Tamandua tetradactyla: one gene and its partners. The protein of the gene in region 1 purifies or fractionates together with the protein of each later gene. This does not show direct contact. Links are inferred from orthologs where the notes say so. Each region holds a gene or a part of one and is shown on either strand. Other genes may lie near its edges. The genes, in order: SINHCAF, SAP30, ING2 and ARID4B.

Evidence for each region.
Region 2: the proteins of SINHCAF (region 1) and SAP30 purify together in Homo sapiens (affinity purification with mass spectrometry; 4 studies listed by BioGRID and IntAct, counting the BioPlex papers as one, with this or other methods). This does not show direct contact. The link is inferred for Tamandua tetradactyla from reciprocal best matches to the Homo sapiens genes SINHCAF and SAP30.
Region 3: the proteins of SINHCAF (region 1) and ING2 purify together in Homo sapiens (affinity purification with mass spectrometry; 3 studies listed by BioGRID and IntAct, counting the BioPlex papers as one, with this or other methods). This does not show direct contact. The link is inferred for Tamandua tetradactyla from reciprocal best matches to the Homo sapiens genes SINHCAF and ING2.
Region 4: the proteins of SINHCAF (region 1) and ARID4B purify together in Homo sapiens (affinity purification with mass spectrometry; 3 studies listed by BioGRID and IntAct, counting the BioPlex papers as one, with this or other methods). This does not show direct contact. The link is inferred for Tamandua tetradactyla from reciprocal best matches to the Homo sapiens genes SINHCAF and ARID4B.

The regions. Positions count from the first base shown.
Region 1 is NC_135333.1:94,268,197-94,275,667, reverse strand, and holds the start of SINHCAF (SIN3-HDAC complex-associated factor), read left to right. Parts: upstream 1-4,464; 5' UTR 4,465-5,008; coding exon 5,009-5,024; intron 5,025-5,550; exon of another isoform or gene 5,551-5,659; intron 5,660-7,471. UniProt on the Homo sapiens protein: Subunit of the Sin3 deacetylase complex (Sin3/HDAC), this subunit is important for the repression of genes encoding components of the TGF-beta signaling pathway.
Region 2 is NC_135352.1:39,728,277-39,735,911, forward strand, and holds the start of SAP30 (histone deacetylase complex subunit SAP30), read right to left. Parts: upstream 3,004-7,635; 5' UTR 2,696-3,003; coding exon 2,390-2,695; intron 1,235-2,389; coding exon 1,109-1,234; intron 750-1,108; coding exon 651-749; intron 1-650. UniProt on the Homo sapiens protein: Involved in the functional recruitment of the Sin3-histone deacetylase complex (HDAC) to a specific subset of N-CoR corepressor complexes. Capable of transcription repression by N-CoR.
Region 3 is NC_135352.1:29,357,280-29,364,604, reverse strand, and holds the start of ING2 (inhibitor of growth protein 2), read left to right. Parts: upstream 1-4,314; 5' UTR 4,315-4,381; coding exon of another isoform or gene 4,382-4,578; 5' UTR 4,579-4,924; coding exon 4,925-5,093; intron 5,094-5,936; exon of another isoform or gene 5,937-6,778; intron 6,779-7,325. Other genes in the region: uncharacterized protein LOC143669889, read right to left, coding at 4,040-4,172, 4,382-4,578. UniProt on the Homo sapiens protein: Seems to be involved in p53/TP53 activation and p53/TP53-dependent apoptotic pathways, probably by enhancing acetylation of p53/TP53. Component of a mSin3A-like corepressor complex, which is probably involved in deacetylation of nucleosomal histones.
Region 4 is NC_135333.1:5,592,672-5,600,556, reverse strand, and holds the start of ARID4B (AT-rich interactive domain-containing protein 4B), read left to right. Parts: upstream 1-4,873; 5' UTR 4,874-5,049; exon of another isoform or gene 5,050-5,108; intron 5,109-5,160; exon of another isoform or gene 5,161-5,583; intron 5,584-6,464; 5' UTR 6,465-6,513; coding exon of another isoform or gene 6,514-6,519; 5' UTR 6,520-7,885. Other genes in the region: GGPS1 (geranylgeranyl pyrophosphate synthase), read right to left, coding at 1-7. UniProt on the Homo sapiens protein: Acts as a transcriptional repressor. May function in the assembly and/or enzymatic activity of the Sin3A corepressor complex or in mediating interactions between the complex and other regulatory complexes.

The DNA of each region.
Region 1 (7,471 bases):
TCTTTTAAGAATGAGCTTGTGACAATTCTTTAAGTCTTTAAGTTCAGAAATTTGAAAAGTAGTTTTGATTCAGTAATATATACCCTGTTTTCCTGGCAGCTGTCAACGGTTGTTGGAGGATTGGGGTCTCTTAGATTGCATAACCAATTACGTACCTTATAGTGTAAAGTTATCTGATTTGCTCTGACCACTTATTAGAATTTCAAAAGGATTTAAACAAAGAGGTAACAAAATATTGTACTTGTTTTGCTGTGAGAAAAAGAGCTCTTGGTTTAGTCTTATAGCTAGTACCTTTTAAGGAATGAAACCCAATGATTAATAATAACAAACAGGATATCAGACTTCATTTTAAAAGCAATCATTATTAAATACATCACTAAATTGCTGATATTATCCCTCATTACTAAATAAGAATTGTGCTTTTCAGACTTTCATATAATTTTTCCGCCATTTCAAGGATATTATAATAATTGTAAAGTTGCTGGCAGCAATTAAACTCTCAAAAGAAGGCGGTAAATTCTATGGGAAAAAAACAACATACAAGTAGAATTACACAGAAAGAAATTAGAAGAAGTGTGGTGGCTTGAGCTTCTCTAGGGCAAAAGGGTTTCACTGTCATTAAATTTTTACTAAATGAATGGAAATATTCAAGCATTAGAAGTAATTCTACAGTGGGACAATATGTAATAAGCAAGGTAGCTGGTGTGGTTAGAGTATGTGGCTACACAGCTATATTTTCAATTTCAATGTCTTTGAGAACTCATTATGAATTCACAAAGCACTACTTTCATTTAAAAAATACTCAGATATTTTTCTAGCATGGTGAAATTCAATTTATTATAATCCAGTTTATTTACATGGTATAAATTACTTTTCTTTCCATTTTTTTTAAATAACGAAAATTCACTTGGGCTATTTATATAATAGTATTTTTAAGTAACCTATAAATGAACTATTGGCTCTGGATAGGGCCAGCCATAACAGCATGTTCAAGCAACAAAATGAACAAAAGAACCTTTGGAATGCACCTGGTTGTTCAAAAATAGCAGGTGGTTGTTAGAGAAAAAAAAAGATTCTAAAGAATCCAGATTTCTCTTTGAGCTTTGTTTCTGACTTTCATACAAAAATTACCTGAAATACTGCTTGACCTCTTTGAGAGCAGAGGAAGTCTTGCTGTGTGAAATTAGTCCAGTAGTTCAGAACGTCCAGATATTTCTTATCTGAACAGGAATACTACAATTCCTGCAATGCATGCACATTTTGAACCTATTCCATCCTTGGATTACCATATATATTCTTTATATAAATTTCCAAGAGAAAAAGCATTCTAGCTATACTTTTGTTTTTTTCAATTATACATTTTACTTTGGAATCACAAGGCTGTTACTCTAATAGGTCAATTTCTTATAAACATTACAAGTACAGAAAATACCAAATATACACAGACTTCATTGTAATATTCACAAAAATAAAAAAAATGTGAACTCCCTTAAATTAGACAGTTATCTTCCCTCTTAACTGAGATTACCTATGTCCAGAGATTTGTCTTCTGACTGATGTCCAGATTCTTCTCAGAAACCTTGATGTGACGCACACATCTGCAGTTGCTATATCAGCGATGTGGTGACTCCAAGGATTTGAGTTTTATGTTACTTAATTCTTTGGTGTATTCAGAGATGACTACTAGCTCTAATCATGACAATCACTTGTTTGATTTTACATTTCTTTATCTTCTAAGTTTTAAAGAAATATTTCCCTTCTAACCTTAAATAATTTTTCTAAGATATAAAATGTCTTTATATGAAGTTAATGGAAGCTTAGAATCTTCATCTTTCATATTCTTAGTACCTCACATATATAGAAATATCTGATTGATATTGGATACTTCTCATTCTAGCTACACTTTTATATTTATTGTAAGCAGTAACTGAAGTTTAACAATATGATGATGCTTACAATTTTCACATCTTGAAAGGCATATAATAATTTTAAAATATTTTTGGAGGATCTATTATAAACAAATAAATATTTGAGACAACTCAGGACAACTTTCTAAATTCTCTGAAAAACAACATAGAGATTCAAGTTTGGGATTCAATTTGCACCAATGAAAGCCCATAAAGACTTATTAAGGCTATTCAGGATTATGTATTATAAGGACAGGAATGGCGTCATATGAATCAAGGTGATCACCATATTCTCCAATTTCATTATAGGTCAAATACAAAATTATAAACTAAAGTAAAGCTGTTTTAACTTGAAATAGATTTACAATAAATTTAAACCACTGATGTATTATTTGTCAAACAATTATTCAGAATCTGTTATCTACTGTACACTGTTTTAGGCACTTAAAAGTATAAGATATGAAATCCCTGCCTTTAAGGAGTTCACATTTTAGAAAGAGATGCCATCCCCCTTCACGGATATTTAAAAAAGTAGTTTTCATATACAGCCATAGGAATAGCCTGCTACAGAACTTTTTAAAAAAAAAAGCATTAGTTGAAGACTTCAGAAGTCCGCATTGTAAGAATGTACTAGGAACTGGCTGTTGAATTAAATTAGATTTTCAGATGCTTTGTATCTATTTAAATCCACTGTTGACATTAGAGTGAAAACAGAGAAATTTGTCAGCAGATAATTAAGTTTTTTGGCTGTTTTCACACTTTTGTAGCTTGTGGATCTGGGAAAAACATCCTTATCTCTCTTCAACCTCCCTCCATTATCAAACCAAACTGTCTGCCTGCTGGTGCTAGGTATGTCCTCGGGATAAAGGTGTATCGCAACCTTTATTTAAATTTTTTTTCACTTGTCAATTTGAGAAATGCTACTTTTATTTCCCTGAGGCTAGAACTGTTTAGAGTGTTGGTTTATTATAAATTCCACAAGGAAAAGTCCCGCACTTTCTTCGCCACTTTTTCAATTCCCAAGACCAGGTTAGTGGTACTATTTCTGGGTGAGTGGAATACTCTATAAGTAGCTGGAGGAGATATATATGCATGTCCCTAGACTACTGACTAGTCTTTTGAGAAAGGGCACTGTTCCCATGGAAATTAACAACCATTCAGTTAGGACTGGTTTGAAATCTTAAGGCCGAAGTGTTGGGAAAAAAGTTGGATCATGATGGGTAGGGTACTATTTGAGTAGGGCGAGTGAAGTTAAGTGAACGTATAGGGTGTCAAAATAGGACTTTGTTAAACGACTGATTAAAATTGCAGGTACAGTAACATCTGCTGGCCCCGAAGAATTTATTTTTAAGCTACAAAAACTCAAGTTTCAATAAAATTTAGGAGACGGGGAAGAAGAATAAATTCAGTCCGAGTGCTTAACCTCCCCTCATCTCAGGCGAGAAACTGGGTACAGGTGTGAAAATTTGGTAAAAACAGCTTTCGAAAATTTTTTCAACGCGAAATGGTGTGCCTTACGAACTTCAGGGTGGAAAGCATCTCACGCAATCGAATCTACTCCCTTGGTTGCTAACCTTTCCGCCTTTCCCATCCCGGCACTCACTCTCGGCCGCCGCCTCCAGCCAGGGGGCGTTTGTTTATGTGACGTCCGCCGTAGTAAGCAGTCCCCGCCCCCGCTTCCCTCTGGCCGCCGCGTTTCCCGCGCCGCGGCGCTTCTCCCCTTAAAAGGACAATAGAGGCCTCGGGAGCGCGCGCGGCCGCCAGGCCTTTTCCCCTCCCCAGCCCTCGACGCGCTCGTGCCCGCATGCAAATAAGTTCGATTCAAGAGAATCTTGCACCGGGAGCCGCGCGTGCGCAGAGGGAAAGCGGAATCTACACCTTCCCGACCAGCGGTAGCAACTGCAGAACTGCAGGAGACAATCTTTCTAGACAAGGCAGTTGAGGAGGAGGGACTGATCGGAGGGGGGCTGGCCTGGTGTGCACTCCGCACCTCGGGAACGTTATTGCGCGTGGAACGGCTGCTTTTGGAAGGTGAGTGATTCTAAGCATCACTCTGGTGCAAAACTGCTTCATGAGGCTTTGATTTCAGGTTTTTTCTTTTCACCTCACTCACCTCCCTGGTCGTTTCCCTCACCCCCCCCCCCCAACAGGAAGTTTTGTCTTGGAGATGATATTGCTGGAGCGCTGTTTTCGTGTTCTTCAGACGCCACATTCTTTTGTATACACATGTTTAGTTTGTATTTTTAATTTGGGGGATGGGGTATTTGAAGCAGACCGAAAGTCTTGGGGTGGGGGAAGTGAGTGGAGCTTGAAAATAATTGAGGAGTTGCTGGAGTTGAGGGATCCACGCTGAAGGTGACAATGACTTTTCTCAGCTGCAGTGTTCTCTGGCTAAAAGGAACCCCGTGGCTGAAAGGCCCAAGAGAAAAGCGACTTGCTGGCAATTGCCGAGCGACCCTGGGTCCGTGCATCCGCGTGGGCGCGAGCCCCGGTCACGGCCGGACGCCGTTGTTAAATGTTAAACCTCATGGTTCAGTTTATTACAGCCCCTCACGCGTGTTTTGTTTAAGATGGACAGTAAATGCCATTCGCTCGAAAACTAAGTTGTTATCGACTTTACAGCTGGCGGCCCTGAGGGGGTTTAAATCGGCCTTTTTGGGAAAGTGCTGGGATTTGCCCGAGTGCACGCGGCGTGGCGTTGTTTGCTCAACTCCGGAGGGATGCGGATGCGACAATGAGAGCAACACGCGGCCGCTTAAAACAGCCCCAGCTCCCCACGCCTGCCTCCGCGGACCGCGCCCATGGAGCTTTGGTGTCCGAGGCTTCTTTGGAGCCTGAAGTTTTATTAAACCTATTTATTCACCTGTAGCGTCGATGTGGGCGCTATGGTGAGGGTTTTCTAGGGCCACCATCTGCGGTTTAAGATGGCCAGTTGCAGCGAAGTTGACTTGGGGATGGAGGCAGTGGCGTTGTCCGCGCGGAAGGAGTGAGTGAACTCCGAAGGGCATCGCTTTTTTGTATTAAACATGACAGACCACGTGCCGCGACCCGCGTTTTAGGCGGAGGTCTGGCTGAAGGTCCAGCTTCCTGGTAGCCTTGAGATGCAGTCGCTGTCGGGTAGGTCCGATCGGCAAGACAATGTAATTTGCTGGTGATGGCGTCTTGCCAGTTTAAAAAGCAGAGTGAAAGTCGCCAACTATCCGCTTGAGCGGGGAGGGTAATTCGGGCTTTCTTATCAAGGACATTGGAAAAACTTGAATTGAATCGGCCCGCTTCCGAGAAGGACCGGAGGACAGGACTCCTGGCTCTCGGGGTTCGGCGTCCGGACCCTTCCTCTCGGTGATCGCCAAGTGCCTTGCCCCTGAGGAACAATCCGACATCCCCGATGCTGCACGTAGGCAGCGCCCGGCTGGACAGAAAACAAAGGGCTGCATGTGCCCGTGCGAGCCCCGCCGGGACTGAGGGCCGCCCGGCTCGGGGCCCACCCAAGTTCTTGCGAGTTTCGGAGAGGGGTTGGCTTTTGTCCCTCAGCCCCTCGTGGGGAAACTTTGGCTGCGCTACTTGTATGAGGTGCCATGCTGGTGCGCGGGGAGGCGGCGTGCTAACCCGTTCTGAGCGGGCGGGTGGGCGAGGCAGACGGGCGCCTCCGGCGCTTCCTCCCCCGCCCCAGCGCTGGGGGCCGCAGCGGCCGAGAGAGCGTGGCCGGAGTTCTCGGCCCCGTTACCCTTGGGCCGGGAGCCTGCGTCTGGGAGGTCTGTGGATTCGCCTTTGAAGTCGAACTGTTGCCATGTTTGAATTACGTCAGGGCAAAGCCATGAGGAGGAACAAGCCCCGGCAGCGCGGCGTGCGGGAGTCGCGGCCTGCGGGAGGCGCCGGGCCCAGGGGGCGGGCGGGCGGGCGCGCGCGAGGGCCCCGTTGTTCCGGCGCAGGTGAGGGAGGAGGGGAGGACGCGGTTCACCTCCCGCTGCCCTCGCTCTGGCGAGCGGCCCTCGAGAGGAACTTTCTTCTCGACACAAGATGTTTTATTTACCAACAAATTCACCAGGGAGCGTTTGTCTTTGCTGGCTTGGTGTCCCCAGGCCGTCCCCGCCTGTCGGAGGGGGAAAGAACAGTTTGGGGGGGGGACCCGAGGGTCTTGAGAAGACGGGGGAGGAGGCGCTTTGCTGCTTTCGGGGAAACCCGCGAGCACCTCCCCAGCCCCGCCGAGATGTAGCTCGCAAGTCGTGGGGACCCAGTCCCGACGGCACCCGAAAACCACCGTGGGGAAGTTTCGGGGCTCCCGCTGTCGCTAAGAAGGGGAAGTGAGGACTGTGGCCGAATTGTGCGTGCCGTTGTTGTCTTTGTGTGTTTGCGTGTGGGAGGGGGAAGCGGGAGGGGGAAGGATTCTTTTGGTTGGGGGGTTTTTGGTTTCACTTGGGGTGGTAGGGCGGAGCAGTTTGTTCTGGTAACTATGACCCCAGTCGGTTTCTTTGTTTTTATTTTCTCCCTCTGCCGTCTAACCTTCGATTACTCCAGTACTCGATGATTAGGAATTACGACTAAACCAAACGTGGACCCTGTCCAAGGCCGCTGTATTTACCCCGCCCCCCCAACGCTGTCCTAAAGAAGGTTAAGAAAACGCGATTTCCCCCCTTTTTTTAATAATTAAAAAAATCAATATGACCTCGTCATTAAAAGTACACTGAAAGCACCTGTTTTTGCCAGACTTTTGGCAAATCCTTCTGTTAATTTATGTTGCAAAATTGAACATTTGGTTGCCCCGTGTAAATTAAAGACTGAAATTTGGTTCTGGTGAATTTCGAGAAAAACCTCATGGCATTTAAAGAATTTGTATAATGATTCCGGGAAGGGGGATCTTTGCCCTAAAGATATGTCCGACTCAATGTTTAGGCATTATTCGCTGCATTATTTTAGGATGACCTTGAAGAAATGATCACGTAGGGGCTTGGAAGCTGCTTCTGGGGACGACACGGGGTAATGGCTAGCTAACTGTGGTAACTTCTTAGTTCCTGTGAACTGGAGTTGACCCTCTGGTTACCCCTCCTAACTTTTCAAGCTAACTTTTTTTTTGGTATGTAGCCCTAGGCATAGCTCAAAAATTATGCTGGTTTGACACATGGATGCTTTTTTGGTATTTGGGGTTTGCTTGCAGTCTAGACATCCAATAAGCAGCATCGTATTTGCTGTTTCTTTCCTGATTTACTCTTTATTTGAATTATGGTTAAAGATTGAAATCTAAAAGTGGCCATTACTAGAAAATAATGTAGCTCTCCTTAAATGCCGTATACCCCAACACTAAAACACAATCCATACAAGTTGAAATCCATTTTGTGCCTTTTCATGGTTGTCTTAGTAAATAGACACATCTCCCAAGTTTTGGTTGCCCCAGTTAACAAATACCAAAAGGCAACTAATATTAGCACTTACATTTCTGAAGTGGTTAGAAAGAGAACGTGTCAGGAAAATTGAAAACTTTGGATTTTGATAATTTTCTGGCTTTCTTTTGGGCATAGTTATTTCTCCGAGTCATGTATTTAAAATGCTTAAAAAACACCAAACGTAAA
Region 2 (7,635 bases), on another chromosome or scaffold:
TATAAACATCTTAATATAATGCACAGATTTCTTGGTTCTATTATTTCCCGAGAATGCACACACTCAGTCAACTTTTCAAAACTCATTAAAGGACTAAATCCAATAAAAGTCCTATATCAAGACAAACTGTTAGTAAAACCCTGTATAAAAAAACTTGCATAAAGTAAAAAGGGTTTAATCTTTGCCTCTTCAAGATATAAAGAAAACATGGATGTCTCAACCAAAGCAAACTAACATCAACAAAGACAAATTCTGAAACAGTTAAATCAGCAACTTATGTGCATACTGTATGGGGTTCTTCTATAAACATATGTCACCAGAAACCCCCCAAAACAAATACTGACAAAGACATTAGAGCTTATTAATTTATTTTATTATGCCTTGATCAGGTGCTCAATAAATGTTCACTGAGTGAATGGAACTTTAAAACTAACAAATTTTAGAATGAGGACAGAAAATTAACATTCAGTATTTCTTAAAGCCAGTATTAGAAGAAGCAAAGAAAATCGCACACAGTTCACTGAGTAGTCATTACAAAAAAGTGATGTATTGTTATATCACTATGTTAATTATTATGTTAACTAGTTCATTAGCATATAATTGGTGGGAACAGGCTCACTTAAAGTCTAAATAGTTAAAAATTCATATACCTCAACAAGCTGTGCTTTGTTAAGTCCTGGTCTGGTTGGTAGCTTGAAGTGTCTTTTGTATCTCCTAAGTGTATTTACTTGTAATTGGTATAAATCGACCTAGAAAGAAGTAAGGTATATAAATTAGTTCATTCAAACTACTGAAATATCACTGGTACGTCTAATGTAATTCCATTATCAAAACACCTATAAATGTATTAAACACTTTCGGGGATAAATACATTAAAAACTGGGGCACAAAAAAAATTATAAGACAATAGAGATGCAATAATTGTCAACTGAAATATAACAAGTCACACTGTGTAACTGTATGTTAACTGGCTGTATTTAATTTTGCTTTCATTTTCAGATTTCTCAAATTCTTTAACCACTTTAAAAATGTGCTCAAATCTTTTCTATAAAAGTTTAAGAATGAATTATTTAGGATACACATTTAACATATAAAAATGTTCATCTACCTCTGGGGTATCAATATCTTGAACAGGTGAATCACCTCCATCGTCATCACTCCCTTTTCTCTTTCTTCTGTTTCGAACACTCTGAATTAAGTTTTTATGATAATCGCAAATGTAGAGATGCCTTGCCTGAAACAGAAAAGTTTTACAGGCTGCTTATGATTACGACAAAATGTAGTGTCTATCTATTACTGAAATACATGGGTCACGGTGAACTATTAAAAATAAACACAACAGTCAAAACAGGGCATTGTCAAGAATACAGCCTGTTTCCATTCTTATTCCCGCACTCATCCTATTAAAACATACCAGGTCCGACAAAATTGGTAATCCGGTTAACAGGATGGAGGGGGAAGGGCGGGGGGCGCCCGTGGGGAAAGGAGGGAGGGGAGAGGAGAAAGAGAAAGCCCAACCCTCTGGGTTTTGTCATCAAAACTCAGAGGTTTCTTCTGAGTTTTAAATGAATGTCTTTATCTGTAACACGTTTTGCCAATGGAAACAATCTGAAATTATCCAAGTTCACCTAAAAAATTATCTAACACGACTAAAGAACTGCTTAAACATGTGAGAAGTATCGCAAATTAACTTTTCAAAAACTTTTAATGACATAATCTCGAGAGTTGGAGTAACAAATATGAAACACAGGGATTCATAGGTTGACCCGTTAAAGAAAATGCACTTTAAAATTTATTTCCGACCTAAACGCAAGTTCAAAAACAGGAAGGCCGCGCGCTACGTCCTGACATCACATTCACCGCGGCCAGCCCGAGCTCGGAAGAGGGGCCGCGGCTGCGGCCCGCGCCTGGGAGAGGGGCCGGCGGGAGGGCTGCCCGCGGGCGACCGGCGCAGCGGAGCCGCACGGCCACGCGCCGCCCTAGGGCCGACGCCGCTCCCAGCCCGCGCCCTACAAGGCGGGGCTGGCCCGGGAGAACCCGACCGGGCCCGGGAAGCACCGCCCCGCCCGCGGGGTGCGAGGTCCGGGGCCCAGCGCGCCGGCTCGGACAGCACAAAGGCGCCTCCACCCAGACCCGCGGACGGGCCCCGGGAGTCCCCTCCTCGCCCTCCGAGCGGCTCCCTTTGTTCCGCGTCCCACGACCGGGAGGAAGGGGGAGGAGGCCGCGGAGGGGGCGGGCGTCCGAGTTGCGGCGACCTGGCGGTGCGCGTCTCACCAGGGACCCCAGCACGGGCCCGCACGGCAGCAGGTCCGGGGCGGGTCCTGCCCCCCGTCTTTGCCCGGATCCCGGAGCCCCGCGGAGGCGGCAAGGCCGTCCGGCCGGCACTTACGCTCTTGTCCAGCTCGATCTTCACCTTCTTCTGGGAGATGCTCTTCTGGATCCTCTTGCTGAAGCTGGCGTTGCCCGCCGCCCGGCCGCACCGCTCGCCGTCCTCCCGCAGACAGCACAGCTGCCCGGGGCCCGGCCCGGCCGCGCCCGGGGGACCTGCCGCCGAGACGGCCCCCGCTCCGGACACCTCTGCCCCGGCGCCCGCCCCGGCTCCGCTCCCGGCCGAGGCGGCGGCGGCCACTACGGCGGCCACTGCGGCGGCCGCGTCCCCGCCGCGGCTCATCTCCTCAGGCGTGAAGCCGTTCATGTCCCGCCGGCAGAATCCGCGCTCGCCTGGCCGCTGCGCCTCCGCGACACTGGGGTCGCGGCCGGGTCCCTCAGGCACCTGCCACGCGGCAGCGATGCCGTCCGCACCCCGAGTCCGGTGGCGGCACCGTGCCGACGTGTGCTGCTCCGCGGCAGTGGACGGTGCCCAGGGTCTGGACCCAGAGCCCGAGGGGTGCGCAGTGGCGACGGCGCTCACTGTCACCTAGAGACTCTTGAATAGTTAGACCGCGGCGCCTCCACCTCTCCCCGCCTCTCGTCGGCCCTCGGATCGCGCAAGCGTAGTGTGATAAACACCGTGCCGCCCTTCCCGTCTGCCGCAATGCACCCCGGGAATTGTAGTTCTCTGTGCAGGGTCAGCCTGAGCCCGGAAGGTTGGAAAACTACCTATCCTAGCATGCATCGCGCGGCGAGGGGTCGGTCTAGGAAGCCCACTGACTTTTCCTCTCTTTTCAGTACCGGCCGGGGCTCGCAGGATGGTGTGGCTGGGAATGATGGTGTTTGCTCTTCTGTAGTCTCTAAGAAGTTAAGTTGTGGTTAGCTCCTGGAATTTCGCAGACTTGGTGTATTCAGACCAAGCGGCAACCGACTCTTCAGACAAAGAAAGAAAGGAGGAGAGGAAGTGGGTAGAGTGTGTGAACGAACGCTTTAGGTGCCTCTCTGGTCGCTGTGGAAAAAGAGTTTATGGTGTGACCACGCTTTTGTTGGAAACCCAAACCAAAAGCTCGAGCGGCGTGGAAGTCCCGCAGCTCACACCCCGACTGGATGGCAGCCCCGTCTGTTCGCGCGCTGAAGCGCCCCGTGGAGCGCACCCACCCGACCTTTGACCCTAGCAGGTGTCCTCGCAAACGCCGCAGCCGAGCACCGTTTCCACACCTTTGCCTGTTCCTGCAGGGAACGCGCTCCGTTCCCGGGCGCGCAGTCTCCTCCCGGGGCTGTGGCGAGAGGCGGAGTCCAGTACCTTTTCCCGGGAGGCGTGGAGCTGTCACCTGGGCCAGGCCAGCTGTGCGCTCGAGGCGCGGCACCCGGCTCCGCCAGCGGGGCGAAGTGGAGCCGCGCTTGCTGGGTCGCGCGTGCGACTGCGGTGCGGGAGTGACCGTCTGTGCCTGTGCGCCTGCGGTGCGGAGTGACCGCGTGTGCCTGTGAGCCCGAGTGTGCCTGTGCGCCTACGGTGCGGAGTGACCGCGTGTGCCTGTGTGCCCGAGTGTGCCTGTGCGCCTGCGGTGCGGAGTGACCGCGTGTGCCTGTGCGCGTGTCGCGTGTGCTTCTGCGGGGCGGAGCAGAAGGATGGGGAGCTTCCTAATAGGAAAGCTTTTCCTAATAGGAAAGCTTCAGCTTTGCAATAACTTAAACAGCTCATCGTTTTTAAAAATCAGTACATAAACAGTCTCATTGTTAAACAGTTCTAATGTTCGAATAGAAATACTGTATTTTGGCTAGTAGGTTTTTGGAATGTTCTTGTAAATTTAGTGAGAGACCATTAAAAAATAAAGTGTAAAATGCCATCTGCGCTGAAATTCAAAGCCATCGTTTCCACCTGTGCATCTAGTTCTAGGATCTGGCAAAGGAAAAAACAAAATTAAAATATTAAATAAGTTGAGCAGGTAAAATGTAGATAGATGCATGCGAAGTACGATATGTTGTCTTTTTAAGCTGTACTGTCCGATGGGGTGGCCGCCAGCCCTGTGCGGGTACTGAGCACTTGAAATGTCCTTACTGCGACTGCAATAGTTTTATAATTATTTTTTAACTCGATTCACTTTTGGGAAAAAACTTAAATATGTTTGTGACAACTTGACTATTTGAATCTTTGTTCAACTCAAGTTTTATGAAATCTAAATTTAGCATCGGAATTGAGATGTGCTCTAAGTACAAGTTGCAGATGGTATTTCAAAACTTAGTACCAAAAAAATGTTGAACAGCTTATAAATACCTTTTTTATATTGATTCTATGTTGAAATGATATTTTGGGTTTACTGGGTTAAATGAAATATTAAAATTAATTTTACATGTTTTTTAATGTGGCTGCTAGAAAATTTAAAATTACGTTTGTGGCTCGCATATTTTTATTAGAGAACGCTGTCTTAGAGTAAAAACAATCATGCTGGATGTTATTTATGGATATATTTTCTTAAATGGTAAAAATGAGAACATATGTAGGATGGACACACCCCAACTTCAGGGTGTTGGTCACCTCTTGGGAGGCAGGCCAAGTGAATGGCTTAAAACTGGTTTCTGCTGTATTTGTAAGTTTTTATTTATGAAAAAAAAAATCTGAAGAAAGCATGATAGTGGAATGTTGAATTTTCAAATTTATCTTTGTATTTTTATTTGTTACTGTTTGGTTCTTGCGCCTATCCCTTTCCTTCAAAATTCGACTAAATTAATTCACTTATCTGTGTTTAGTTATGTATCAATTATATAAAACATTCAGTGAAGAATTGTGGCTTTGCCTCCTTTACCCAAAATAAAGTGTTTTAAAAGAGATCCAATTACATGACATTCAGGGGTGAAAGTCTCCCTCACAGCATAGGAGATGACTCTTAAGGATGAGCCTGGCCCTGGCACCTTGGGATCAACAACGCCATCCTGACCAAAAAGGGGAAAAGAAGTGCAGCAAATAAGGTATCAGTGGCTGAGAGACTTCAAATAGTTGAGAGGCTACTCCGGTGGTCACTCTTACACACGCTTCAGTTAGACATTGCTACTTATCATAGCTTGCCAACCCCCAACCAAAACTATTCCTGTCAATCCTAAAGAACCCCTAGAGTGTAATATAAGATTCTACAAAGGTTCTGTGCACTAGGGTAACTTTCCAGAAACCTACAACCTCCAGATGGTCCCTGGACCAGAAAAGTCCTGAAAAGCAGAGGGGCCAGCCTCTCCAGAACATCAACTGGTTTTATCCCCCATCCCATATTACCAACAGCCCCTTCCAACATGAACAAGTTAGAATGGGCATAGCCCAAATACCCCTAAAGAGTGGGAGAAAGATCAAAGGGATGGTGGAGTTACACAGACAAGGTAAGGTTTAACAAATGAGTGTGATTGCTGAATCATTGATATTTCTTTTAATCTCCAGTGTCTCCAGTGTCTTGGAGCAGCTAGTAGTAAAAACCTAAAAATGTGGAATTGTAACCCATACTAAACTCTGAAATCTGTTCAATAACTAATTGTTATGATGTGCTTTGAAATCTATTGCTTATATATATATATATATATATATATATATATATATATATATGTTATTTTTCACACACAAAAAATCGAATGTGATGATAAACGCACAGGTATATGATGATATTGTGAACCATTGTACACGTTGGATGATTACGTGGTATGTGAATATATATCAATAAAAAATAAGTTTTAAAAAAGCAAAAATAAAAAGATCCAATTTAATATTTATTGCATACTATGATCTTTCCTAGGCCCTGGGAATAAAATAATTGAGAGAGGTTCATAGCTATTTTGGAGCTTGCTGGGAGGCAGGCTGCTTAACAAGCACATTTCAAAAAAGCATGCTAAATGCCTCAATAAAACTAGAGAAATATAGATGTAGCACACAGGAGGGAATGATTAATCTCCGGCAAGTAGAAAGGATTCCAGGAGTTGGTGACATTGCCAGATTTAAAGTACATCTTCAGTGAGTCTATTTGTTCAAAGAAATTTACATAACCATAGTTCATTATTTATTTTTACAGATTTCCATATGCAGGACAGGTAAGAACTCCTTGCTTTAAGTGTAATTCACGGTTAAGACTGGAATCAGGTGTTTGAGGGCCTCAAGTTTGTACAATTTGAAAAAGCATGTAAAATTATAAATATAAAATTAGGCCTTTTGAATGGCTTGTCCAAGTGAGGGACTCTGAAGCCTAATCCATTCACCTCATATTAAACTGCCTCATAGTAGCCCATATGGTTTTCTTCAGGAAGTTTCTATTCAGATTTTCTGTCTATTTTATCTATTGGGTGTGCATCTATTTCTGTCAATTTGTATTAGTACTTTATATATCCTTAATGAGCCCTTTGCCAATTTTACATATTTCAAATGTCTTTTCCTACTCTATAGCTTGCTTTTTGACTCTATAGTGACAACTTTCAGTTAAATAAGTCTTTGTTTTAATGTTGAAAAAATTATACCTTTTTATATAGGGCTGATGATTTTTGTGACTTAAATAATTCCTTATTCAAAGTCATGAAGATATTTTCCAACAGTATATTCTAAATGCTTCACTGTTTTGCCATTCCCATTTAGCATTATGATGGATTTTTTGTGTGTTGGTGGAAGATAGAGGTGTAATTTCATTTTTTTATATGTTACTTGTGCTGGTTTGAAACCATTATGTACCCCAGAAAAGCCTTGGTTTTTTTTTACCCTTATGAAACTTATTTCTGTAATGGCAAAGCTGAGCCTACTTATAATTAATGTCTAAGAGTCATCAGCAGAAAATCTCTTGTGTAGCTCAAATGTCCCTCTTCCTCAGCCAAATTCTGACCACTGCCCCTCCCCCCCACCCCAGACGTGAGACATGAATTCCAGGGGTGTAAGTCTCCCTGGCAATGTGGGACATGACACTCAGGGATAAGCCTGGCCCTGGCAACACAGAACATGACTCCCAGGGGATGAGCCTGGCCATGGCATCATGGGATGGGTTCACCAAAAGGAGGTAAAGAAATAAAGTCTCTGTGACTTAAGAGATTTCAAATTGAGTTGTGAGAAGTCATTCTGGAGGTTACTCCTATGGACGTTTCAGCCAGATATTGCAAACTACCACAGTATAGCAAGCTCCAACCAACAATATTCCTGGAAACTTTAAAGGATACCCTGGGCTCTATAAAAGTTTTACTTATTAAGTTCGTTTTTCAGAGACTTAGATACTCTGGATTGTTCCAATACCAGATAAGCTCTGAAACCCAGCA
Region 3 (7,325 bases), on another chromosome or scaffold:
CAAAATCTCATGTCCTATTCAAGGTTCCATGTACTTGTGGTGTTAATTAAGCTATCTACATAAATTATATTAGGAAATGCACTAGTCAAAATATAAATTTTGTACCAAATACACATTTTTTTTTGCTTTAGTCTCACACATAAGTTGAAGTTTTAAAATACTAATTACCGTCTATTTTCAGTACCCTGCAGTAATGACATTCCTTTGTTCTTCCTCATGCAAAACATTTTTAAAATTTGTACATTTAGTCACTATCATTATACACTCTAGGCATTCCTACATTATACCATCTCAATCTTTATCGTCTATCTTTCTTTCTAATTTCATTTGTGCCCCCAGCCCTCCTCCCTTTATCATTCTCACATTCAGCTTCATTCAGTGTTTTAACATAATTATATTCCAGTTAGGTAGTATTGTGCTGTCCATTTCTGCGTTTTTACATTCAGTCCTGTTGCACAATCTGTATCTCTTCAGTTCCAATTACCCAATATCTTATCCTATTTCTATCTCCTGATAGTAGGACCATCTTTTGATGCTAGTAGTCATCCTGTAACCTGAAGTAGCAGAATTGACTGAATTGGCTGTATTCACCAACTTTTGTGTTCTCTACCATATAAACTACAAGTATAGGCTGAAATTGCTCAGATTTATACTATCTAGAGAATCTAGCATTTTCTTAACACTGTCCTTTGGTCTTAAATGATTCCTGGAAAGCAAAATAATTGCTAAAACAGATATTAATCTAATTGTAAATTAGATTAGTAGTAAACTGAGAGGCTGAGAAGAGTTTCTCCAGCTTATAGAGATTTTTATATTTTTAAATTTTATTTCTTTTTTCTACAATTTTTTCTACAATTCCTGTGTTGGACTTATGCAATAAAGCAGGTGAGAGAGAAACTCTGACTGTGTTCGCCATTTGCCCTTCCACCTGAGAGAGACACCCTGAACTTCATTGGCCTTCTTGAACCAAGGAATCTTCCTGGATGGCTTAGATTGAACATTTCTATAGACTTGTTTTAATTGGGACATTTTCTCAGCCTTAGAACCGTAAACTAACACCTTATTAAATCCCCCTTTTAGAAGCCATTCCGTTTCTGGTATATAGCATTCTGGCAGCTAGCAAACTAGAATAGAAGGGCACTGCTATCTGCTTCTCTGAATCACATAGTGAATTAACTACCTCTAATTGGTTTAAAAAAAAAACTTCATTAATCAAATGCAACGTGTAGAACTTACTTGAGTCCTGTTCAACGAACTAAGTACAAGAAAATGGGGAACTCTGAATTATCTGAATACTGATACTAAGAAATTGTTTTAGTTGGCATAACGGTATTGTGATATAGTTTTTAAAATCTCATCTCTGTTTATATTTAAAGCATTTAAAGATAATTCTGGCCATATGTTGGTCACTGTTCAAGCTGGATGCCTAGTATATCAGGATTTACTGTACTAATATTTCTACTTTGATGTTTCGAATTTTCCATAATGAAGAGCTTAATAATATTAAAAGGAGAAAAAAAAGAAAAGGATTTCAAATTTAATTGACCTGACTCAAACAAAAGTTGAATTTTCTCAGAACACATCACAGTAAACATTTGGGGAATCTTTCAGAATTACTTGTTAGTTGTTTTCAGTCAGAGTGTGAAGTTGTTGCTCAGGCCTCTCACAGCATAAATAAGAGCTATATTAGATAGCTTTGGAGGCACACTTTCTACCAGGGACAAACATCTCAAAGGTTAGAGTCTTGGAGGCCAAAGGCTGATTTAAGACTGATTCAGAAATTAAAGTTAATCCCCATACACTTCTACTAACCTGGAAGCATTAGATACTTGTCTTTTTAGAGTTGTTTGTGGGGGAAAATACAATGAAGAGTAAGTTGCCTCTTTGCTTTATTCATAGACTATCTTCTATATTGGAGAATTAGGGATTTTTAAATCTTACATTTAGCAGAGGATAAGGAGACCCATTCTAAAAAGACCCCAAATTTCCAGTTAAGTGACTACAAAGCAGAAAAGAGACATTCATAATTAACCAAAGTGAAGTATGGAATTTGGGGAGTATGGTGATTTTTTTATTCTGTGTAACTACTCTCCCACAAAGGCTCCTTTCAAAAGTACAGCAGGAATAAGCTTTTGATTAACCTTTATAAATATAGCAACAAAGGTACATAACTGAAATAACTCATGCACACAAATATACATATATATTACCATACTAGAGTGTGCCTTAGGTTTAGACCAAAACAATTTGAAAAATAATTAATTTTTGCTTCTTATCAAACTGTACAAATGAATTATGAAAGGAGAAAATAATGCCATAAAAGTTCTCCCAATCCATTCTCAACCTTTCCTCTCAATTTGCTCTAGGTTCCTGGAGGGGTTTCCTGCATTATTGCCTTTTCTCATTTCTAGTTTCTAATAACCCTTTGCCACATCTTCCTGTGACCACCTGCCAGAATGAATAAAATCTCATAGATAAATCTGGTATCTAACTAATAAATAACATGGCATCATGCATTATTTGGGAGCCTTCAAGAAATACTAGCTGATGCAAACTTGTGAACAAATAAAAATATTAGGTGAAGGTAAAAAACGGTAAAATTCAATTCCTACCAACAACTGTGTTTTGGCAAGAGGTGGCTGCTTAATTTGAAAGATTAAAGATGACAACAATAAAATCCCAAGACTGTTTCCAGTCACAGTGGAATGCCTGGATGAAAATTGTGGTAATATTCAAGAGGTCAAAACTTCAAAGTATCACAGGATAATAACATAGAACAATCCCTGGGTCCTTTGCAATATTTCAGTTGTTCCCAAAACGTCAAATTCCCTGGCGTGCTCTGTTCTGGTTTGAAATGTAAGTTTTTCTCTAGACTTCTCTTTGCATTTAGGGACTCTAGCATTTCACGGTTACTTAGTATTAATAGCTGTTTCAAAAGTGCTCGAAAGAAGGGAAGACTTCTCACTGGCTGCATATTTACAAATTTTCATATTCAAACTATGTGAACGTAATTCTTATTCTTGGCACTCAATTCAAACTTTAATCTTAGGACTATGTTGTTTGGAACTGAAAGAAAATAATAATAATAATAATAATAAAGTCCTCTAAATAGGTCATAATACAGTTGTACCACTGGCTGCAAACAAACTGGATATAAGATAATCCAAACTTACCACGCACTAATATTTCCTCAAAGGTACTACTCACAATACGGTTTATTTACATAGGCATTCCATTAAAATTCTCCGTGTATTCGTTCTATTTACACCCATTTCTTTAAAAAAAACACGTTGTTATATACACTGAGAGGACATTCGTACTTAAAATTAGCTCTCTTGCTTGGCACTTTACGCAACAGACACTATACAGAAATTAAACCCGAGTATACCTCCTACATAAGGCTGTGAGCATGATTCCGGAATAATGCTTTCATTCCCATCTCCGTCCCCCCCCCCCCCGCCGTGTTTGTTAGTTCTAGGGTAAAAAGAGACGGGAAGGTGGCGGTGTCCCCTCCCACTCCGCCAGTTTGCCCACGCCGACGTTCAAGGCTTAAACATTCTGAACCCGAAAATGGTTTCTTTTTATTTGTTCTCAAAGGTTGTCTGTTAGACAAAAACTTTTCCAGGGCAGACTCAGTCCAGCATCCCTTCCCCCCAAATTTAAATAGTGGGTTTCTGGAAAAGGGAAGGGACAAAACCTGCAAGGCACCTCGAAGCCGGGAAACCTCTAGCGTCTGAGGAAGGGCGGAAGCACGCCCTCTAAGGGAGATTTAAAAATCGCGCGGACGTAAAGAAAACGCAGGGGGCCGAGGGGGGCACCGCCTACCTCCCTGCTAGCCCGGGTTGCTCCTTGAGCCCGAGGGCCACGGAGGGAGGAAGAGGGAACCGTGAGGTAACCGCTGAGGCAACCGCTGAGGCGGCAGCACCGCGACTGGCAACCGAGCGGCGGGCTACGGCGACGGCGGCGGCTGAGGCACAGCCACAGCGCATGCCGGGAGCCGCACCCCGCTGCACGCTGGGTCGCGTAGTTCCCACAGGCCTCACTCCAGGGCGTAGCGAAAAGCGACCGCCTGCTGTTCCTTATAAGGCTCCAGAGGGGCAGCGCTAGATCCACCTAATGGCAAGAAAGTCGGTAGCACCGAGTCGAATGAGTTGGGCCAAGTTTCCCTCTTCCTGTGGGAAGGACAGAAGAAAGAAGTCAGCCACTTTCCCTTTCAGGTTCCATTCAGACATTGGGCGAAGAGCCGGGCTTGACAGTGCTTCCCCTTTAAGAGGGGGCGGGGCGCAGCTTGCCGTTTGGCCGTCCTCCGCACCCTCCCCCCAAGCCTAGAGTTGACAGACCAATCGCCCGAGTGGCGGAGGGAAGGCGGGAGAATGCGAACCCTTCGGTAGGGCGGTAGGGGCGGACCCCGGCCTTATTAGGAGTGAGTCCTGCGCAGGCGCAGAGGCGGCCGCAGGAGGAGGGGCGGGAGCAGTCCAGTGAGAGACTCTCCGACAGGCACGGAGGGTGATTGGGAGAAAAGGGGGCAGCGAGAGGCTTGTCATGGGGATCCGAGCTACGAGGCGGCATCGGTAGCATCTGGAGACTCGGAGGGAAACAGGAAGTGTCAACGCCTGGGACCCCGGCGCCAGCTCCGCTGGGGGGATCCCCGCTGCTCCAGTCCTGGGGAGGGAGGGGTGAAAGGAGGAGGCACTGACCTCGCCCCGCCCCTGGATTTGTTACCGCGGGGGCGGGGAGTGAGGGCTTCTCTTTGGGGGAGTGAAGATCGGGGGACTCGGCTGTGCCCTCCTGAGTGGCTGCCGGTGTCCCCGCGGTGCCGGGCTGCTGAGCACAGGAGCCGCGGCGTCCGTGGCTGTTGCAAGTGTGGTTGCTGGATGCGGAGGCGGCGGCGGCGGCGGCGGCGAGGAGCAGCAGCGGCGGCAGGATGTTAGGGCAGCAGCAGCAACTGTACTCGTCCGCCGCGCTTCTGACCGGGGAGCGGAGCCGGCTCCTCACCTGCTACGTGCAGGACTACCTCGAGTGTGTGGAGTCGCTGCCTCACGACATGCAGAGGAACGTGTCTGTTCTGCGAGAGCTGGATAACAAATATCAAGGTAGGGAATCACGGGGCTGCTCGTGGGGGTCCTCCCCCGCCAACCGGGATCCGCTGGCCTCCGCGAGCGAGCTCTTGGAGGCTGCCCACTTTTCCCTTCTCTTGTGACAGTCTCCTCGAGTGCACAGATGGAGTCTGGTGTATGGGACGGGGGAGAGGGACTGGAGACCGTGTTCGTGGCCCTCCCTTCCCCCGCTGCGATCGGCAAGGTCTTCTGTGGGGTCTCTAGGCGGGGGGCTGCCGCTTGTCAGCACCCACTGCACACCCAGCGGCTGCAGCTGCTGTGGAAGGGAATCAGCCATTTTAAGCAGCAAGCATTTGTCCTGACGCTTGTTCGCCCCGTGCCGCAGACCCGCCTGCCCCGCGAGGGAGTCTAGGCAGAGGCGGCCAGTCGCCGCCGGGCTCCCGCTGGTCTCCGGGGCCTGGCTTTCCCCACCCTCCTCGGGCCCCCACCCCCTGAGAGCAGATGCATTGGAACGTGCGGGGGGGGAGGGGGCGAGAGAGGGCCGTGAAGGCGGACTCCAGTGAGGTCCCTCCCGCCGCTCTTTGGCTCCCGGCTCCGGGTTTGAGGAGTCGCTCCCTTCTCCCCGTCCCTGAGAAAGTTCCGGGCCGCAGCCTTTTCCTAGCTCCTACGGACGAGTGGTTAAAAGGGGAGGGGTCCCCCGTGGGGAAAGGAAGAGGGGTGTGTGTGTGTGGCGAGGAGGGCCCCCAGTCCCTGGAGGCGGGGCTTGGGCGTGACGTAGGTGTGGGAGGGGCGCGGACGCGCGCGTTCCCGCCGGCCTCGAAAATGGCTGGTTGTGGGAGGGTTGGGAGAGAGCTGCTGTTAGGGAGGGGGTCGGGGCAATGTGGGACATTAGTTCAGCCCTAGCAGTCAATGTTGGTGTTATTTTTCGATTCTTCTTTCCAACTACTGAATCACAGCGGGGGCACAATCAACTGCTGCGACCGTAGCTAGCCCTGGCCACCGCGTTGATTCTGGGCCTTGCGTCACTTCCGGGCCCAGGAGGAAGCGGGTTGGTTGACTGGGCAACCGCCTGGCGTCCCTTCACCCCTGGGTGTCTCCTGCGCTAAGTTTATGGGATGAGACGAAAACCGCCCTTTGTGGTCGACACAAGAAGCTAGGACCAGAGAATTAGACTTTCTCACTCAGAGTATCGTTTTTTCTTCCACTATTGGTTGATATTTTTGCCTGCTCCTAGGAGGGAAGCAGTTTAAAAGGGGAGTCGTTATGCACTTAATTTAACCCTGAATCAAGTAACAGGCAGTGGACATTATGTGGAAACAGCCATAACGACTTTCAGCATAACGTATTGCATGCTTTCTGTGTTTTTCTAGACACATCACTAATCCTATGATTTAGTCTCTAAGCGTCACGCCTCTACGGTGACATTTCCTGGCTTGTGGCATGTTAGAACATTCAGGTGTCTCCATGTTTTATTTCTGCCTTCTGAGCCCATGTTGTCGCTAGGACTAGTCTTTGTTAGTGGGGAAAGGAATTAATACTGACCGTTTAAAATCTGCCAGTCACCGCCCCAAGTCCAGAACATCTCATTTATCGTTGCAATGACTCTATGAAGAAAAATGGAAGTTTTCTCGTTTTACATTTGATAAAACTAACAAGATGTTTAAGTAACCTGCCCAGGTAATTAGGTGGGGAATATTTGACCCCAGAACCTGCTCCTTCAGGTGTGTCTTTGTTTTTTAAGCTATTTAAACTTTTTTTCACTCTTTATATAAAAGCATTCGAAGGGCTACAAGCATGGAACATATACAGGATTGGTAGCCTGAAAATAGTAGCTTAAAAACATATGTATTTAAGAATTGTGTATTGAACATTTTTAGTTTTTCCAATAATAATAAGCCTGTAGTTTGTTAAGCTTGCAGATTTTTACATTTCTTTAAAGGTACATGTTTGTCTTCATAAAAGTTGTTTTCTGTTCATTTGAAGTTGGGAAGGATACTATAATTCACTAACACGAAATGGGCATTCTTGACCATCTAAAATTATCATATGTATCTCTGGTAACATAAAAAATTGTAGTAGACCTTGCAAGATTGACAGATTATAATAATCGTCAACTCCGTTGAAATTGTTCATGCAAGTGACTAATTTCAAGATTAATGTAAAAACAACAATCCAATTTTTACTCCATGTACATGCTTACTAAGCTCATCTTTCACAGTTTTGTTTACTAAAGTTGTGTACTTTTGTGCTCTTTGTTCATATTACAAA
Region 4 (7,885 bases), about 89 Mb from region 1:
TCTCCATTGTTTTTAAACTTCAAAGCTGACCTTTTAAAAAGGAGAAACATAACCAAATCATCTTTCAGTGTCAAAATGCAAAGGAACATGTATTCTTGAAAAAAGGTATTATTGAAAAAGTAGACTTTCAGTTTGGTTTTAAAAGAAAATTAGAAATGGATGAACCTTGAAAACATAATGCTAAGTGGAAGGAGCCAGGCATATAACATCGTAAATTGCATGATTCTACTTATATGAAATGTTCAGAATAGGCAAATCTATAGAGAAAGAAAGTAGATTAGCAGTTACCTAAAATTAGATTTTGGTGATGGCTGCACACATTATGAATAATGTACCTTTTAAATGAGTGAACTGTATGGCACAAAAATTATATCTCAATTAAAAAAATTCTTCATTCAAGTGATTACATTGTTGTAACGGTACAGCTAGTTTTTAAGTGGTTTCCTTAGGTATATACTTATATTAAGCCTTTCCTATTGTAATCACAGTGAAAAGCTTAAATTGTTTCCATCAAATAAATGCCAACACAAATTCACAGAATTAGGCTATCTCTACATCTCACTGATTACATAAATTAGTAAACACACTTTTTTTTTCAGTCATGACTATTAACATGGATATATGCCTTGTATATTTAAAATTAAAGGGGGAAAAAAACTTGTATTTCTCTACAATCAATTCACTTCAGATATTCTGATTTGAGATATGCATTAACTTGAATGCAGTCATATTTATTAAAAATATCCCCCTGTGGGAAATTATTCTCTAGTGATCCTATTATTCTCTAGCATCACTAGCTCTCTCCTAATCAACTTTCTTAGCCGCACTAAAGATACAATAATACAAGATTAAATGCAATATTGTATCTAATGGCAGTTCATGATTAGAGTTGCAATCACAGAATTTGGAATTGGAAGGTACCTGAAGAGAGTTCTCTCACAATAAGCTAGGCGATAATAAGGCGTAAGGGTATATTTACTTTATTTTTTTGAATAATGGAAACGAAGTTGAATTTATATTTTGACCACTCAAAGGTCTTTTTTCTAATTCACTAAACTTAGGAAGGAACCTTCATTTTTAATTGCACCTTACTTGATTCTGATGGAGTTTCTTAAGAAAGCATATTAGTTACACAACTAAAGGGGTGTGGTGGTGTTTTATTTACTGTAAGATTCAGGGGTGTTCTTCAATTTCTAAATTAGCTGTAGTAACTTCATAATGTTAGTACTAAAACTCATCTTTCACAGCCTAGTCATCTCACACGATGAGCTCTTCATCCACTCTCATAGACTAGGCTATTCCAGTAGTTTCTCCTTACTAGCATCAAATTTAAAAGTATAAAATATACTTAGGGAAGCAGAACTTGTCTAATACCTTAATCCATGAAATATGAGAGTCTTCACATATATTACAGTAAATAAACATTGTTGATTCATACTCATGCCACTAAGCAAATCTGAAAATCTTGAAGTAAACATAGTGACATCTCATTATTGGTAAACTAATATTTTTTTCACCAGCACAATGAAGAACTCAGTAGAGCTGAGTCTACCCTAAGTGGTGAGAATCAGGTATTTAATATTTATTGTGAGCTACTGATTTAAGGGAAAAAGGGTTATGTCACATCAATTTTATCATGTACTTCTTTTTCCACTGGAGTGTAAGATGTGTAACATGTAAACAGAAGAAAAGAATAAAACTACATTTTCTATGTCCTGTTAGGCAGATGGTAGGCATGTGTTCAAGTTGGTTGAATGAATACACACGGATTATCATCAACTAAGTGTTTTGGTGCTTCCATGTAGTATGATGCATCTCATTGGTGAGAGAAAGCTTTTGAGAATCTGATAAAAGCTATGAATTTTAAACAAAAACTAAACAAAAAACCCCAGCTTATAAGTGAATATGCCCTCACCTAGATACATGCAGACCCATAAAATGCTACATATAATTTTTTAGGAATCATATAGGCCCTGAATCCTTTACATGTATCTCAGATTAAAATCCCCAGCTATAGAATAAATATCCTTACTCTTTAATACCAAATAAACAAATATTCATGTTTGTATAATGACAAATTAAAAAATAAATTCTACTGGCTTAACTCTTTATTGGAGGGAGATTACAAATGGACATTAAAGCATGAAAATGGTTAAAGTTCAGGTTACTTTTTGGTACTGAAAAAACTGTATTTTTTATCATCCACTCTATGAGTACCCTTGTGAAACAATCATAAAAAACAGCACTCCAACAATGGAAATCTTTCAGCAATCTGAATGCAAAGATAAACATTTTTGTCGAGAGCAAAAATCATGTCCGTATCTTTGACACAAACTTTGCGACACTTAAAAATCATCAAAGCCAAGTTTCAAGAATGCTCTTTTGTTTGTCTGGTTCAATAAAAGGTACAAAGTGTTGCAAGGAAATGTGAGATAACCTTTGCTTCCATTCTTAGAGCTTTGGCTGATGTTATCTCTCAATTTAAACATTAATTATGAATTAAAAAATATCCCTTTTGCTCAGAGAAATATGAGAATTCCCACTTAGCAACTTAGCCAATTAGTAGTCATTTATTTATCACTGCTAGAGATTTTATATTACACAAAGTAAAGAGGCATTATTAATGTGTTATATGATCTCTACTATTTCAGGGTGAATACCTACAGAATGCCTACATGAGATAGTGTGAAACTACTCCACTTTCAAAACGGAAAAACTACCTTAAATTTGTTCAAAGAGTGGGTCAATAAACAGGAATGCAAATGTACCTTGTCTAGCAGTTAGTACAAACTATGTCATAAGGGAAAAAATTCAGGAAATAATCCAAATTTATTACATGTACTGTTTACCAGCTAACTGCAACTCTGATATAGGTTACCTAATTCTTAGAGATTAAAGAAAGAAAAGAAGATGCAAATTTTCTTAAATAGAATAATTGCCTAGGTAAAACATTATTATTGGACAGAATTGAAGATAGAATAGTAAAAGCATCTCTTACACACGTCTCTAATTATTTAAAAGTTAGTAAAAGTTAGTAGCCATCTCTTCCCAACTAGGTTGAGAGCAAAAATCATGTCTGTATCTTTGACACAAACTTTGTGACACTTAAAAATCATCAAAGCCAAGTTTCAAGAATGCTCTTTTGTTTGTCTGGTTCAATAAAAGGTACAAAGTGTTGCAATGAAATGTGAGATAAACTTTGCTTCCATTCTTAGAGCTTTGGCTGATGTTATCTCTCAATTTAAACATTAATTATGAATAAAAAAATATCCATTTTGCTCAGAGAGATACGAGAATTCCCACTTAGCAACTTAGCCAATTAATAGTTATTTATCACAGCTAGAAATTTTATATTACACAAAGTAAAGAGGCATTATTAATGTGTTATATGATCTCTACTATTTCAGGGTGAATACCTACAGAATGCCTACATGAGATAGTGTGAAACTACTCCACTTTCAAAACGGAAAAACTGCCTTAAATTTGTTCCAAGAGTGGGTCAATAAACAGGAATGCAAACAACAGATTTTCTTTTCCGTGTGGATGGATTATTACCGCAATATCCTCCTTGTCTGGCTTCTCTGCATTCACTCCTGTAATTTATCACTTAACTCTCACTGCTCTTTGCGAAATTTAAATCTGGTTCTATCACCCTTCGGACTGAGAATTCTTCAACGATATTTCACTGCTTTTAGAGTAAGAATAAAACTTGTCAACAAGCCCTGTAAGATTCGGCTCCCCGCTCACCTCTCCAACCTCAATTCTTCATCCTGACACAAGGCTTTCCAACATGCTATCCTACTCCTCCTTAACCTGAAGTCAATCCTCACTTTGTCGGGAAAGCCTTTCCTTACCACCGCGTAACTCTTCAGGGTAGCACCTACCACAGTTGTCATTTTAACCGATTCGTGTGTCTATTTTGTTTAATTTCAGTCTCACTAGACTTGGTTCCTGAGGGGAAGAACCATACTGTTTTTCCCACGTGGTAGGAGCTCAAAAATATGTGAAGGGTTGAATGAATGTAATAGCGGAAGTACCTTCCAACGCAGTACAGAAGTACATCAGAGGAAAACTTTGCGCATAAAAAGTGAAACTATCATGCTAAGTATTTTTTTTTTAATGGAAGGTTCTGGTTTCAAAATTGCTTAGTAGAGACATACAAATGTGATGTGAAGCGTAGATGTGAAGCGCTGAGTGAATCCTTCCATTCAAACTCCGGGGGATCATGCGTCTGAAGAAAACTGTCCTGAGATACAGGGAGGGTAGTTAAATAACTTTGAGGCAGATTTTCAACAAAGGTTTAATAAAGGAAATTCAAATGTTTACTCTGCCTAGCACAGACTCCCAAGTGACCGGGAGGTTTCTGCTTCCTCCTAGGCTCAAATGCCCCTTTCCGCCCCACTTCATCACTTAACCCTCCTCCCGCCCCCTCGACCCTCGCAAACCCGCGGATGGAAAATTAATACACAATCCGGTTCAGCATCCGGGTCCTCACTCTCTTTTCTTTCTTTCCTCTCGGTTCCCCGCCTCCCACCCTTCCCCGCCCTCCTCACCATCCGGGTCCCCCCAGCCACCGCCACTGCCGCTCACAGTTCAACGATGATATCACGACTTCCCCGTTGCCGGTCCGGTAACAGTAGAACTGAGCGTCAACTTCCCACTTTATAGTTCAGACCAAAGCTCCTCCCGGTGACCACATATATCCCTCCCCCTACTTCGCCACAGAATTCTCCGCCCTCCTCGGTGGCCAGCAACACCGCATTACTCGGTGCAAGAAAATGCGCCATCCCGGTCACACTGCGCAGGCGTCGTAGCCGCCTCCCCCCCACTGCTTTGTCGCCCCCGCCCCCTTTCCCCTCCCCCCGCCTTAGGCGGGCGCGGGGCATTGCGGATCTTGTAGTTCTCAACGGCAAGCGGTTTGCGCATTGGCCTCCTAGACTGGACTACATTCCCCGTGAAGCTTTGAGGCATAACTTTCTGTTTCCATAGAACTAGTGGGAAAATGGCGTCTGTGTTTGTATCCGAGGGGCCAATAAGAACAGGATATAGGTGGGTTCCAAAGAATTCTAACCAATCCAAGGTCGTCTAAGAGGCCATCCGGGAACGAGGTAGGGGAGGGGGAAAAATCTAGGGGAGGGGAGAAAGGAGGGAAGGGGGGGTTGGGGGGGTAAGCGATGTTTGCCCGTCAGTCGAGTCCGGAGTGAGGAGCTTGGGTGCCGTAGCGGAGGGAGACTCTCAGCTGAAGCTTGCCGCCGCCACGGCCATCGCCTGGGCCTCTGCCCGGAGGGAGCCTCAGAGGGTCTATCGTTGCCGTCCTCTGGAGGGCAGAGCGTTTGGGGGCCCGGACCTCCAGTCCGGGAGTGATTTTTGTCGTTCCCCCTCCCCCCAACGAGGGAGCCTGAGCGGCCGCCAAACAAAGGTACCAGTCGCCGCCGCGGGAGGAGGAGGAGCCGGAGCCTCAGCTTCAGCAACCGCTGGACCCGCCGTCCTTCTTCCCCCATCTCTCCCCCGGGCCTACTGGTTTTGGGGGAGGAGGGGAGGGGATTCTGGACGTGCCAGGGTCAGATCTGGCCTCCGAGGAAGGTAGGGACATTTTCTGGGTCTTTTGCAGTCCCCTAAGGGAGTCTTTTTGGGAGTCCCTGCGTTTTGCTGTGGAGCAGGGGGTAGATGGCTGTTGTGGTCTCTCCACCGGGCGCCCGAATTCGGGGCCTTGTCCTCCCGGGAGGCCCACCTTCTCCCCTACTGCAGTTTCCGAATGGAGTCCGAATCGCCCCTTGACCGAGCGGTCGCAGACTCAGCGGTTTAGCGGCCCTTGGCCGCGGTGGGGGGCCCAGGCAGGAATTGGGGGGCGCTGCCTAAGGTCCTCGCTGCCACACGGCCTTTCCGTTTTCTCCCGTCCCTGCAGCGTGGGGCCAAGTGTAAATTCTCTCCTACTTCTCAGGGTCTCTGGCCTCGAAACGGGACTTGGACAGAGGCTCTGCGGGGGGAGACGGTCCTGCTTGCAGCCCTTCCGGCCGGTCTGACTCTCTCCTGCGCCCCTGCTGGGTCGATTCCTGGAGACTGGGCCGGGCTGCCGCTTGGACGCGGGGTGCTGCGCGGCGCTTCGGGAGAGGACCAGCTCGGCTGGGCGAGAAAGAGCGGTGGGGAGGGTGACCGATTCCGTGTCGGACTCCGGGCTTGTTGTGAGTTTCTTCTCTGACAGAAATGGCGTCATTGTCGGAGACGGGAAACTCCGTCGGGTCCCGACAATGGGGACCGGGAGCTACCGAGCTGTGTAGTTGGCTGGGTTTGCGGGGATAGGGAGGCCAGAGGAGTCCCCGAATCCTTGTTTAATCGTTAGGGGGCTGACGCCCTCTCCGGCGCTTTAATCGGTGTTCAGAGGTTTCACTGGTTCCTTTCCGCCTCCGCCAGTGAACAGGGGGTGCCTGTGGGGTTGACTGGGTGCTTTTTTGTTTCCACTCCAGGTGCAGGTGAATCTGGTGTTATCGGGGGGCTTGTGGCCCCGGAGTCATCATGAAGGTAAGATTGCCTGCAGAAAACGAACCTCTGGTGTTAGAGAATTCAGAAAGGTAGGGTATTTGACTGAGGTCGTTGTGTGGGGCTTCCCTGAGTTTTGAAGAGAAAGGTGTGTTTGGTGCCGTGGTCCCCGAACTCTTGCCTGGGTAACGATGGGGGTCAACTGGTAGGAAATCTACAGCTCAGGGACTCTGCTGCCAGATAGGATACTCGGGGCCTGTGTCTTTTTGAGTTGGAGTCCGAATATCTCATTGAGCATCACCCTACCATATAGAGCGCTTCATTTTGCCGGTAAAAATAGGAAACTGCATGAATTAAAATGCTTTGAAAGGTAAAACTGAAAGAGCAGATTAAGTAATCTGACTCTAAATGCTGAACTGTGTTGTGGTTCTATCGGTTACATTGATGAAAGAAAATCTCTTATTGTGTGAACAGTATTGTAAATTTTTAGCAGAAAATCTATTTGATTAAACACAAAGATGAGCTTCTTTGGAAGTTTTTTCAAGAAAATTATGGTAATCTTTACACAGTTTAGAGATAGCAGTTCTCTTAATTTCCAGGGATTTAGAGTTATATGGTTTGTTTTTGAATTTTGATCTTTTGGTCTGCAAATTTTCAGCTGCTGTGTTACATTGTGATGTGTGATAAGCTGATGGCCAGGTTTCTCTTAAATTTAAGCATGGCAACTGAATGCAGGATAGTTATCTGAGAGGCCCAATTTGCTTAATGGTATAAGAACACACAGCTTTTTTCAATTTAGAAAATACGTAATTGAATGCTGTTTAGTTTTTTAATGCATTCTGAAGTAAAAAGCTTTAGATATGTGAATTGTCTATATTCAACTGGTGGCACTTAAAGACTAGCATATTCTATATTTTCATCCAGTACAAATTCAGAAGTGCTTGAAAAGTGTGTTCCCTGATAAAGAAATGGAACAGATAGTATAGTATGCTGAAGTGTAAATATCTACTTTTGTCAGTGCCTTTGAACTATTTTAAAAAAACTTTATTCCACTTCTCTTCAAAATCGATACTGCTTTTAAAGTACTGCATCCGGATTAAAATTTGTAATACTTGCTTGTGTTTATGGAAGAAAGTAAAAGCTGTGGCAACTTAAACATTTATCTCCTATACAAGAGTGGGTTTAGTTCATTTTTTTCTAGGCTTTTCTTCTTGAGTTTGGGGCGCTGTAAACTCTTATATGAAATAGTTCTTACCTATGAATTTCCATCTTACTCTTATTTAAATGAAAAAAAAAAAGACAAAACCAAAAAACCAGTAATGTTTCCGAAATGAATCCTTTTCTAGTCACAAACTCTAGCTCTAGGAATACCCTTTGTCTTCCTTACTGTTGTGTTGAATAATATAGA